Xenopus tropicalis: one gene and its partners. The protein of the gene in region 3 binds, or shares a complex with, the protein of the main gene of each other region. Links are inferred from orthologs where the notes say so. Each region holds a gene or a part of one and is shown on either strand. Other genes may lie near its edges.

What was found.
Region 1: ppih (region 3) and snrnp40 share a complex: the UniProt entries of both Homo sapiens proteins name them as parts of the U4/U6-U5 tri-snRNP complex. The link is inferred for Xenopus tropicalis from reciprocal best matches to the Homo sapiens genes PPIH and SNRNP40.
Region 2: ppih (region 3) and lsm6 share a complex: the UniProt entries of both Homo sapiens proteins name them as parts of the U4/U6-U5 tri-snRNP complex. The link is inferred for Xenopus tropicalis from reciprocal best matches to the Homo sapiens genes PPIH and LSM6.

What each region holds. Positions count from the first base shown.
Region 1 is NC_030678.2:79,149,814-79,153,571, reverse strand, and holds the start of snrnp40 (U5 small nuclear ribonucleoprotein 40 kDa protein), read right to left. Parts: upstream 2,298-3,758; 5' UTR 2,226-2,297; coding exon 2,145-2,225; intron 468-2,144; coding exon 338-467; intron 1-337. UniProt on the Homo sapiens protein: Required for pre-mRNA splicing as component of the activated spliceosome. Component of the U5 small nuclear ribonucleoprotein (snRNP) complex and the U4/U6-U5 tri-snRNP complex, building blocks of the spliceosome.
Region 2 is NC_030677.2:58,331,207-58,334,532, forward strand, and holds the end of lsm6 (U6 snRNA-associated Sm-like protein LSm6), read right to left. Parts: intron 3,049-3,326; coding exon 2,935-3,048; intron 818-2,934; coding exon 783-817; 3' UTR 551-782; downstream 1-550. UniProt on the Homo sapiens protein: Plays a role in pre-mRNA splicing as component of the U4/U6-U5 tri-snRNP complex that is involved in spliceosome assembly, and as component of the precatalytic spliceosome (spliceosome B complex).
Region 3 is NC_030683.2:94,758,780-94,762,537, reverse strand, and holds the start of ppih (peptidyl-prolyl cis-trans isomerase H), read left to right. Parts: upstream 1-866; 5' UTR 867-869; coding exon 870-935; intron 936-1,811; coding exon 1,812-1,876; intron 1,877-3,130; coding exon 3,131-3,154; intron 3,155-3,758. UniProt on the Homo sapiens protein: PPIase that catalyzes the cis-trans isomerization of proline imidic peptide bonds in oligopeptides and may therefore assist protein folding. Participates in pre-mRNA splicing.

The DNA of each region.
Region 1 (3,758 bases), on a different chromosome or scaffold from region 3:
AGTTACCTGCTGGGCAAACCTGCCAAAACATGGTAGCTTATTTAATTTGATTAAATATTACAAGAAAAGAAAAAATAAAATAACACATACCTGCATAACTTTCTTAATCTGATCAGTTGTAACATTCATAATTAATGTTACAGCTTGTATAGTGTGATAATGTGCTAAAAAGGAGCTAAAAAGCATAACAAAATTACAGGAGGTGCAGATTAATCCTTAATTAGTAACGTATAGATGGCCAATTAATTGTGTGATTCTACAGATGAAAAACAACATCTGCTACTAAGTCAAACAGCTGCAAAATACAAAGCGTATAAAACAAGTGAAAGTTGCTTACAGATAAGTCTGTCAAATCCTGCAGAAGACAAAGTTACACCATTGGGATGAAATTTGCAGCAATAAACTTCTCCTTCATGACCAGAAAGCAGCATGATGGGAGCCTGAAGACTGGATGATCTTGGGGGACCCTGCAGTCAACAAGTTCAGAGAATTAAACATCAAAGTAGATTCAGTTCCATTTATTACCTAAAGAAATATTTTATTCACCTTAAATTTTTAGTATTCTATAAATTACCATTTCTATTCTATTTTAAAGGGGCACTGACACATTCCTATAACAGTAAGGAACTTGTCAGTATTACCCATAATGCAGCACAACACTACTGCTTTTATTGAAGATTTACCCCAAATCTCCTCCAGCCCAGTCACACTTACCACAGGCAGAGTTAAAGGAACAGTAACACCAAAAAATGAAAGTGTATAAAAGTAATTACAATATAATGTACTGTTGCCCTGCATTGCTACAACTGGTGTGTTTCCCTCAGAAAGACTACTATAGTTTATATAAGTAAGTTGCTGTGTAGCCATGGGGGCAACCATTCAAAGGAGAAAAGGCACAGGTTACTTAGCAGATAACAGATAAACCCCCATTATATGGGGCTGATCTACTAGTTATCTGCTACATAACCTGTGCCTTTTCTCCTTTTTTCAAGCTTGAAAGGCTGCCCCCATGGTTACACAGCAGCTTATTTATATAGTAGCTTTTCTGTAGCAAAAACACCAGTTTTTTGCAGAGCAACAGCACATTATATTTTAATTACTTTAAAACACTTTAATTTTTTGATGTTACTGTTCCTTTAAGCCAGCAGTCTGGATAAAGAGATGCTCCCTGCAGACATGCGGGCTGTGGGTGGTGCCATCATTCTATAGGCAGGAATACAAATGTAAACTGTACTCCAGCCGTTGGAAGGATTGCATGGAGGCCAGTGTGACTGACAGACAACTCGTTAAAGTAACATTCTGCGTGTAGTAGTGTTGGGATGGGGTAAGTGTGTTTGGGCTGGGGGAAGCCCAACCAAGTGCTGCATTGTCAGTAATACTGACACGTTCCACGTCAGTATTCTTTTAACTACTCTTTGGCATATTTTCTCCCCTTAAAATTCAGTTTTAGTATTATTGTTATATTGCCTATTGTTTATCAGTCTATTGAGATCCTTCCCTAATTATTTGCCATTTTGAGTTCCAATCTACTTCTTGGTTGCTAGGAGAATTGAGGTCTAAACAAACAAACCTTAGAGGCGCAGAAGAAATAATCAAACTAAAACATGAGAAACAGATATACAGACTAAGGTCATGCTGTCTACACTATACTAAAGGACATTTTAAAACTGAACTACCCCTTTCAGAAAAAAGGCATGAAAATGGGTTAAGAGAAAGTCCCATAGCAGTAAAAATACTAGCTTTTTATTTACTATTTATAACTTTTGGAAATAAAGTTTTTTTTTTAAAAAAGAAAACTTTAACTTGATTACCTTCATTAAAACAACTAGAAAGTCCCATAAACGAAAAACCACAACCCATTAGCGTAGCAAAGTGTAATCACAAGGTCCTTAATGGCTGTGTGGGGTGCACAAGACGAGTCAATACTATAAGTAATTATACCCCTACCTATGTTCAGACGTTAGAGCCTTATGATTACACTTTTTAGCTTATTCTTATACCGTCTAAATCTTTTAATAAAGGAAATAATGGTACGATTTAGATTATGTCTATAATTTTACCTAAAGTCCAAGTCAAATATGCCCAAGGAATGAATGGTTACACTTATCCAAGCCAACCATTTCATTCAAATTCTTCATTCTTACCGAAACCACCAACTCGTTCCTCGGTTTTTTTGCCTGTACCGGCACCAACTCCATTCCCTTCCGCTTGTTTTGCTCGATCATGTTTCCAAGAACTCCTTCCAGCTTGTCTAACACTCACAAACCCAGCCACACTGTAAGACTCGCTTGCGTTCCCACTCAGCAGCGCAGGATGCTCACGCAATTATCCTGCGCAGTCACTACCTGATAAAGATTATAGTGGTGATTGGCTCTAAGACAATCATGTGACCTTGAAAGCCTTTAAGGGGCGGAACAGAGCTTGCGCCGATTTTGTCCATTAGTAATGACGTACGATGGGCGGGGTTGCGCGTATAAGGATGTTTAAGCAACTGGGCTGATACAGGAGAAAGAGAAAATGACGTAGAAGTTGTTGTAATTGGTTAAATGTGATCGGCCGGGGAGGAGACAGCGAAATGGCGGCCCATCAAAGGTAAAATATATAACAAGTCAGTTAGAAGAAGATTAATAGGCTATTACATAAACCATTATTAACGCAGCTTGATATTTCTCTGCAGGTGATTCAATTTTTTTAGGCACATCACATGTAATTTTGTCTACTCCAGTAAAAGGGGCTGTTGGCTTTAGGTGCCTTACATGCTGTTAGCGCACACTGAAGGATTCATAGGCTGGACATGCCTTCACTTTCTCTTCTATATGGAGCATATCTATTATAGTGTGTAAGTCGACATCATTGGTGGTGATGTGGCCCTTAGCAACCAATCAGATCTTTGCTTTGGATTTCTAACTTTTAGGTGACTGCTAAACTCTTAATTGCTGATTGTTTGCTATGTGCAACATCACTGGTGATATTGGCTTATACGCTAGTAAATAGGCTAAGGATTAAGGCCATATGTTATTCTGCACATAGAGCCACATTTACAAGCGTATTTGTAAATTTAGAGAGGTGACAGACGGGTATATTAGTCGCCCCGCAGCAATTCTTTGTTGCTGCGGGCAACTAATCTCCCTGCTATGCCATCCCACCAGCAGGAATGTAAATCGCCGGTGGGATGGCATATGCGTCACTACGATTTTCTGAAGTCGCCTTAAGTTGCCTTAAGAGGAAACTTCGGGTGACTTCCTTAGCCCTATGTGTTGTAGCAGCCATGATTACTATAAGGTATTACAAATCTATTGTCACAGTGACCCAGTTACACAGTGTATGGGTTTGAACCTGCAGTGAAAAAGAATGAAAGTGTCCCTGCCCTATGTTATGCGTATTTATCTCATTATTCAGAGACTTACGAAATATACATATTTGTATATATATCTTTATGTGACTCTAATTTTATATGCAATTGTTTTTTTTTTTTTTTTTTTTTTTACAATACTTTTATATTACAGTGCAATAAATAAAATATTAGCAGCTAAAGAGATTGAGTGCCACACATTGAGACACAAGAAGAATGAGTTCTTTGTCCTGTCTTAACATCTAAGAAGGTTGGAAACTTATTCACATGAATGGGAGGGTAATAAGTGCAGTCATTTATTAAGGTGTGGACATTGGTCTATATAAGGGTCACCTCTGAGTAGAGACACTTATTAAGAGATGTAGTGGAGCATGAAGGATTAATTCTTTGCTTATGAGAAACTATG
Region 2 (3,326 bases), on a different chromosome or scaffold from region 3:
AGGGTGCCTGTATGAAGAGTAGGAAAATTATCAAACCCCTCCCCCCCAAAAAAAAAAAAATAAGACTGTAGGGAAAGATACAGTATTGTTCTAGTGACCTGTATGAAGTGTAACTGCCTATAAAATTTAAGGGAGCAGTTCTGTTTTTGTGTATACATATCTCCCTAGAAGGTAGTACTCTCAGGACTTAAAAAAAAGATGGTGAATATTTTTTATATGCTTGCTTTGTACTCCTTAATCACCATTTGCCCCTCGAGCTGTTCCTGCAATACTGCAATGACTGAAAAACAGCATTACTTTATTATAGTGTCCAGTCTGGCGGAATATTCTGGCACAGGATTCCCCCAATAGCAGACACAACTGGTAACTAGTGAATGGCACTATTTGTATCTAAGCTGCTCCCATAATACTGGGCATCAAATTCACAGCTAAACAGTGGGAAACCCCAGTACAATTCAGGATATTTCTGATACAAACCTAAATGTTATATTTGCATTTTTTTTTATTATAAAAAAACATTAGTTTCTTGTATAATGAAAACAAAACTGAATTTCATGACTGTTGTTTATTTTACAGCAGTACAGATCATCATAAACCAAAATGTTTATCAAACTTTATGAAAAAGTGTTTTTCTTTTCAAAATGTATTTAGCAATGCAACTTCATCTTAAGTCTCAAACATAAATGTATAGACCTTGATCTTCTGAAGTCCAAAATGCTGCGCTCTTAATGCAAAGAACATAATATAATTAAAAATGAAAAGTAAATTAAAAAAAACACAGGTCACATCCTCCTCTTCTGAGTGCTAATATACAAAACTGCAAAGAGAAAAAAAAAATTCACATAAACAATCACTTCCATGTCTTGTTTTTCTGCAATTCTATCAATTCAGCCACAAATACAGTTAAGACCTAAAGGTTAAATACACCTATGCTAAAGATGTTTTAACTAAATACTAGCAAAGTCATCTTTACCATAGGTGTATGTCAACTTAAGGATTCAACTGTAGGTGGGACATTTATATAAAGGTATGTATTTTGTGTGGTATAGAATGTTTTTAAACTATGTCTATAATACAAATTTTATTCGTAGATGTCTAATACAGTCTGCATTCCAGTTAGAGGAAAAAACAGTATTGCACAAGAAATATCCACTTGTAAGTGCTATGATGCCCGAACCAGAGTTCCTGGTGAGGGAAGCCATCTTGGGGCCCATGTATACCCATGATGAGAAAACACCCTTTATATCATTAATAGGATAACTTTCTTAACGTAAATTAAAATTCGGAAATAATCATGTTACTTTTCACTCTGCCCCTCTCAGCAACCTCTTTTCTTTATGCAGAAGTCAGAGAAGGCAGTTAGGTCTAACACCTTTTTTTTTGGGGGGGGGGGGGGGGCCTCTTTACTAGCAGACGTGTGTTACTTTTGGAAGAGTCAGCTTGAATACCTCTTCTAAGGAAAGGGTGCAACCACCCCAAAGAACATATTAGACCTGTCAATCAAAACCTGACTCCACCTACTGCATGAAGAGAGAATAAAGAAAGGCAGGTGATGAGTGGGGGAGTGAAGAGTAACTTGGTTATTTCACAAACATGACAATTTTTACATGATTATATTTAGAAAGTTTTGTTATTTCAGATAGATACATCTTATATTGAAAATGTATTTTCCATACACTACAAACACTGGCTGACAAAGTATCAATACTATGCAGTGTATAGAGTTCTAGTCATTATCTTTCAGGTTAACAAAGCACTGGATTTCAACAGGAAGCCAGCAGTAGCTTCCTGATCTGCAGAAAAGGGATGGATGAGTGAAAATGTAATCTGTTCCTCTATGATTAAGGGTGAAGACACACTGAGCTACTAGTAGCAGTTACAAAAATAGACAATACTGATCATTTACAGATAATTGTCTCTACGTATGTTTTAGCAAAGGAAATTCTCAGTATTGTCTATGGCAGGGTATATTTTGGCGTTAAGTAGCCATGACAAGTAGCTGCTACTAAGTAGCTTTGTGTGTCTTCACCCTTAAGGTGTTCATCTGCCAGGGTTTTTTTTTAGCTAGTGAAGTAGCACCTTAAGCTACAACTGCTGTTTCTGATTGACTACCAGGGTCCACCTGAAATAAATAATCACAAAAAATGCAATACAATACAGACAATACAGCATTTTCAAATCAAGAACTGCCAGAACCTGTGCTACCAGCAAGTTTGCCTTACAGCCAATGAGACACAGCAGGCCAGGTTTCAGCAAAAAAATACCCAAGTACATATTAAAGTTAGAATTAAACTCCAAACTGTAAACTCTATAGAGTATAAAAGCAAAGAATTGTTTGACTTAAAGCTATAACCTTTTTAGGTCATAAAACTATTAAATAAGTGAAAAGGTGTTCCATTTTATGTGTTTATATTAGACCTTACTAAACCAAACACACAACAAGCCAGTATTTTTACTGTACTATTCTTATGCTGCTTTCCCAGAGATCGCATCTAAGAAAGCATTAGGGAGTACTGGACACAAAATGCAAATCTGTGAGATGCAGGCTTCATATGTGTATAATAAATATCCAGCAATCTTTTTAAATATAAAAAAGTAGGAACGGTTACTTAACAGCCCAATAACAAGTATTTGTCCTTGGGATTTGAGGGTCACAAACAAAATTGAAGGTTATTCTGGTTGATTTTACAGCTATCAAAGGGAATACAAGTCTTTAAATTAAAAGGTGCAACTAAGGAATAACAGGTTTACTGGGTGCTACTGCGTGTACAGCAGTTTTATTACACTGAAGAAATGCCTGGCCAGTTACAGAGTTTCTTTCAGGGTTCAATAGCAATGTTCCACATCACACTTTTTACTGAGCAATTACATTTAAAACATTTTTTTATATATTTAAAAAGCAGGACTCAAATTCTTTTGAACCACCATTATTACCATTATTTCCTCGGATAAATGCATCCCCATACTTGTTCTTCAGCTGTCCATTCACATACTCTTCTGTTTGTTCCAAAGCAATATTCATGTAACCATCTAAACATGCCAGAACACCTATATGTGGTGTAGATAAAAAGAAAAATACAAAAAACAATATAATCAGATAGATATCAGTAGTAAATATAGATGGAAAAGCACATAACTGTTGCAAAGACCTCTGGATATTTTCCTTGATTTGCTTTTCTTAGATAATTAGCCTATAACAATAGCCTTTTTAAAGGGTAACTAAAGGCCCCAATGAACACATGTATGGTTAATGCATTTGGCAATGTTACCAAACAAAAAGCAAGTTAACTGGCACCTGGAAAAGTAAAAGGGCAGCAGTTCTGGGT
Region 3 (3,758 bases):
TTAAAAGCTTTAAAAAATAATTGATGTAAAATGCAAATGTGACTAGAAGAGGACACTGACAAATTTATATTAACTTTTTAGGTTTTAGATATACTTTATTCCCCAGTCAATTTATTTGTTAGGGCCCAGGTTTCATACCCATATCAGTTTCTTGGGAAACCTGATTTCCCTGTACTTTGAATTTATGGAATAGTTTTGAAGGCCAAACAGCAACAAAGCTGCCAGTGGAGAGGGAGATTTTATGGGAAGTGATATACAAACAATAAAACCTCCCTTCTCCTCACAGAATACAGAGGGGATTTGGTGTGTTCCCTATGTGCAGCAGCCACAGGTAACCATAATTCTACCTACTGCATAAATACACACATACACCCACACAGAAGCAGAGCTCTGTTATAAACGCACTCTCGCCCACACAGCATCACGGCTGTGATCAGGCCACATTGAAATAGGAACTAAAAAAAAAGACGTTTCCGGTGTGGAGCGCTGAGGCGCTTGTATTAGCACTGCTTGATGTGAGAGCAAGGCAGACAGCATGGATATTTACAGATATGGATAGCTTCAACAGAAATAAATTTAATTGCACGGAACATGTGAATGCTACAACTCCACTCCATCCAAAACTAAACCTCTGTACTGCTTATATGTCAATGAGTAAATCAGGTTTAGTCACGCGTAAACGTACTGCTATTGCCACTCTCCCATAATCCCCTGCAAGGTTAGAAGCGCAGGCATATCGCATCGCCCACCAACTTCATGCGAATAAAGCGTGTAAAACAATGCACTGCGCCTGCGCATACAGCCTACAAGCAAGCCGCTTCTGGGATTGAAGCGCCGCCTCTTCTCTTCCGGTTTTGCCCCAGATAGAAATGGCGGTACCGGCTTCCAACGCTAACAATCCCATCGTATTCTTCGATATCAGTATCGGGGGGCAGGTAACACGCGGTGTTAAGTATAATACATTGAGAAAGCCCTGCATTAAATGATGATTCCATACTTACGTACTGAGAAGAATCTCGCCATGCAACACCACCTACAAACTGCAGCTGAGCAAATGGGGCTGCATGGTGTAGTGTAGTATTAGCAAGAAGGCTAAGTGTGTACTGTGACTGAAGGACAGATTTTTATATTCATAGCAGAAATTATTATGTATTTAAATTGTATTCCACGTGTATGGGCCCCACTGTTCTTTCCGATCTCTAAACCCTAAAACTTTACTGATGGTCCTAAACATGCACTCTAAGCCCTGAGAAAATCCCTAAATATGAACTCTAAAATTCTCATGGCATCCCAATTCATGAACCCTGCCCCCAAGGAAGACTGGGCGTGAACCCCAAAAGAGAGCCCAAAACAAAACTTGTAAAGCCACCAGACGGCTGATCAAACCAATTAGGGGAAAAAAGATCATCTTGGAAAGCTCTGAATATTATCCTTAGAATGTATGGAAAAAAGTCAACATGGAAACTAGACATTTTGGAAAATGTGTCAACATGAGGGCTAATTTGTCCATTCCGTGTCTTTGAAAAAGTTGTTCTTTCAAGCAAACTGTTGCTATACCTATTTATTCTGCATTTATTTAAATTAAAGTTATACAGAATATTAAAAACATTGGGTGGCCTAATTTTGTAAGCTTTTAAAGTTTTGTAATTGCTATATTTTATGCTATTCAACTTCAAATTAGTTTGCTTGTGTGTAACTGTGAAGAAAGGCATATATTCTGGGAAAACATGAAGGGTATGATGACTGTAATACCAATGTGCTAATTGTCTTTTCACAAAAAAAACTAATTTAATGTCCATTTACTTTTTCAGGAGGTGGGCCGGATGAAGGTGGAACTTTTTGCAGATATTGTACCAAAAACTGCAGAGAACTTCAGGTGAAGTTGCATGACTTTTGCTGTCAAAACTCTGGAGTAGTTATATAGCAACACTGACAAAGTTTGCAACTGCCCATAACCCAAAGCAACCAATCAGATGTTTGCTGTCATTATTTTAGTCTCACTAGATCAGTAAGACTAAGGGCTCTGGCACACGGGGAGATTAGTCGCCCGCGGCAAAACTCCCTGTTCGCGGGCGACTAATCTCCCCGAGTTGCCTTCCCCTGCCATCCCACCGGCGAACATGTAAGTCGCCGGCGGGATGGCAGATGCGGCGGCGCGATTTCGCGCAAATCGCTGAAAAAGACTTGCGAGTCTTTTTCGGCGATTTGCCGAAATCGCCTCGCCGCGTCTGCCATCCCACCGCCGGCTTACATTGTCGCCGATGGGATGGCAGGGGAAGGCAACTCGGGGAGATTAGTCGCCCGCGAACAGGGAGTTTTGCCGCGGGCGACTCATCTCCCCATGTGCCAGCTATCTGTCGAGCCTACAAAATAGACAGTACTGATAGGATTGTTTTGCCTTCAATAGGGATTAATTATATCTTAGTTAGAATCAAGTGCAAGGTGCTGTTTTATTATTACAGAGAAAAGGGAAATCACTTTATATCATTTGATTTACTTGATTATAATGGAGTTTATAGAAGATGGCTTTCCCTGTAATTCTGATTTTTCTGGATAATGGACTTCTAAATAATGGTTCCTATACCTGTATTATATCTAGCAAACAGTTTTTAAATAGCTTAAAGCTTTACAATTATACTAATAATATATTATCCACATAGAGTTCCTTTCTGTTTTGTTTCTCTCATCACAACTAAGTTCTTTAATATACAGCCCTCTGCATCTAAAAGAATTTGACAGCACTACTTTACACCCCTTGTTTCTTTTTTTCAAACCATCCAAAGGTCCCTTCCCACAGGCATTAATATTCTCACCAGCAATTTACATCAATGCTGGTTGTAAGGAAACTTTGGGCATTTGTCACCTGCACTGAAGGAGATTTAGTTTTAGTGTTTAGAAGTAAAAGTAAATGGAGGATAAAGTAAATTCATGAATTTCCCATTTCTGATGCTTAAAGCTGATGCCAGAATCAACCCATGTGGCATCAGTCTAAGGGGCTATTTCTGATATCAAAAAGAAGTTGTTGTAGACTAATGCATTATGTGCTATGCAGGAATGCATTGTTGTGCAAACAGATTACGTTAGGTAAAGTATCTGCTAATTGTAAATAATTCTTTATTTCTCATTTCAGGCAATTCTGTACTGGCGAATTTAGGTTTGTATCTGTACTTCTTTTGCCCCGATCGGGGGTTTGATCTAAGTAATGGGAGTAGACTGGAATAAATGTTGAAGCACAATTGTTTCCACAAATCCTCATAGTTAAGTTCTAAGAAACTGGCTTCAGTGCTTCTCTGTTTTCATTCATTGTGTAGCAAATTCTGCAAGAAGCTAAACTGTCCATTGGCTGCTTGGTGGGGGATTATGAATATAATAGCAACAATACTTTTTCTGTAGATCAACTAATACTCAAAATAGTACATTGAAATTAAACGTAATAAGCAATATGGCAGCTTTCCTGACAGGAAAGACAATAACTGTTTTAAAATATTAAATAGTGCACCGCAGATATTTTTAGCACCTGTGCTGTAATACTGACATCTGCTTTAAGGGTAGTAGAATATTTACTGCAGATTGCATTTGCAAATTAGTTCTGAGTTTATTTATACCCTCCATTGACGTTCAGGGCTGAATCATCGGATATAGAGGTAGAAACAATAGCAATTCTACCCCTATCTGATGGTTCAGCCCTTAATGCATGATTTTGCTAAACAGTTGCTAGGGTTCAAATTACCTTAGCAACCAGGGAGTGATGTGAATGA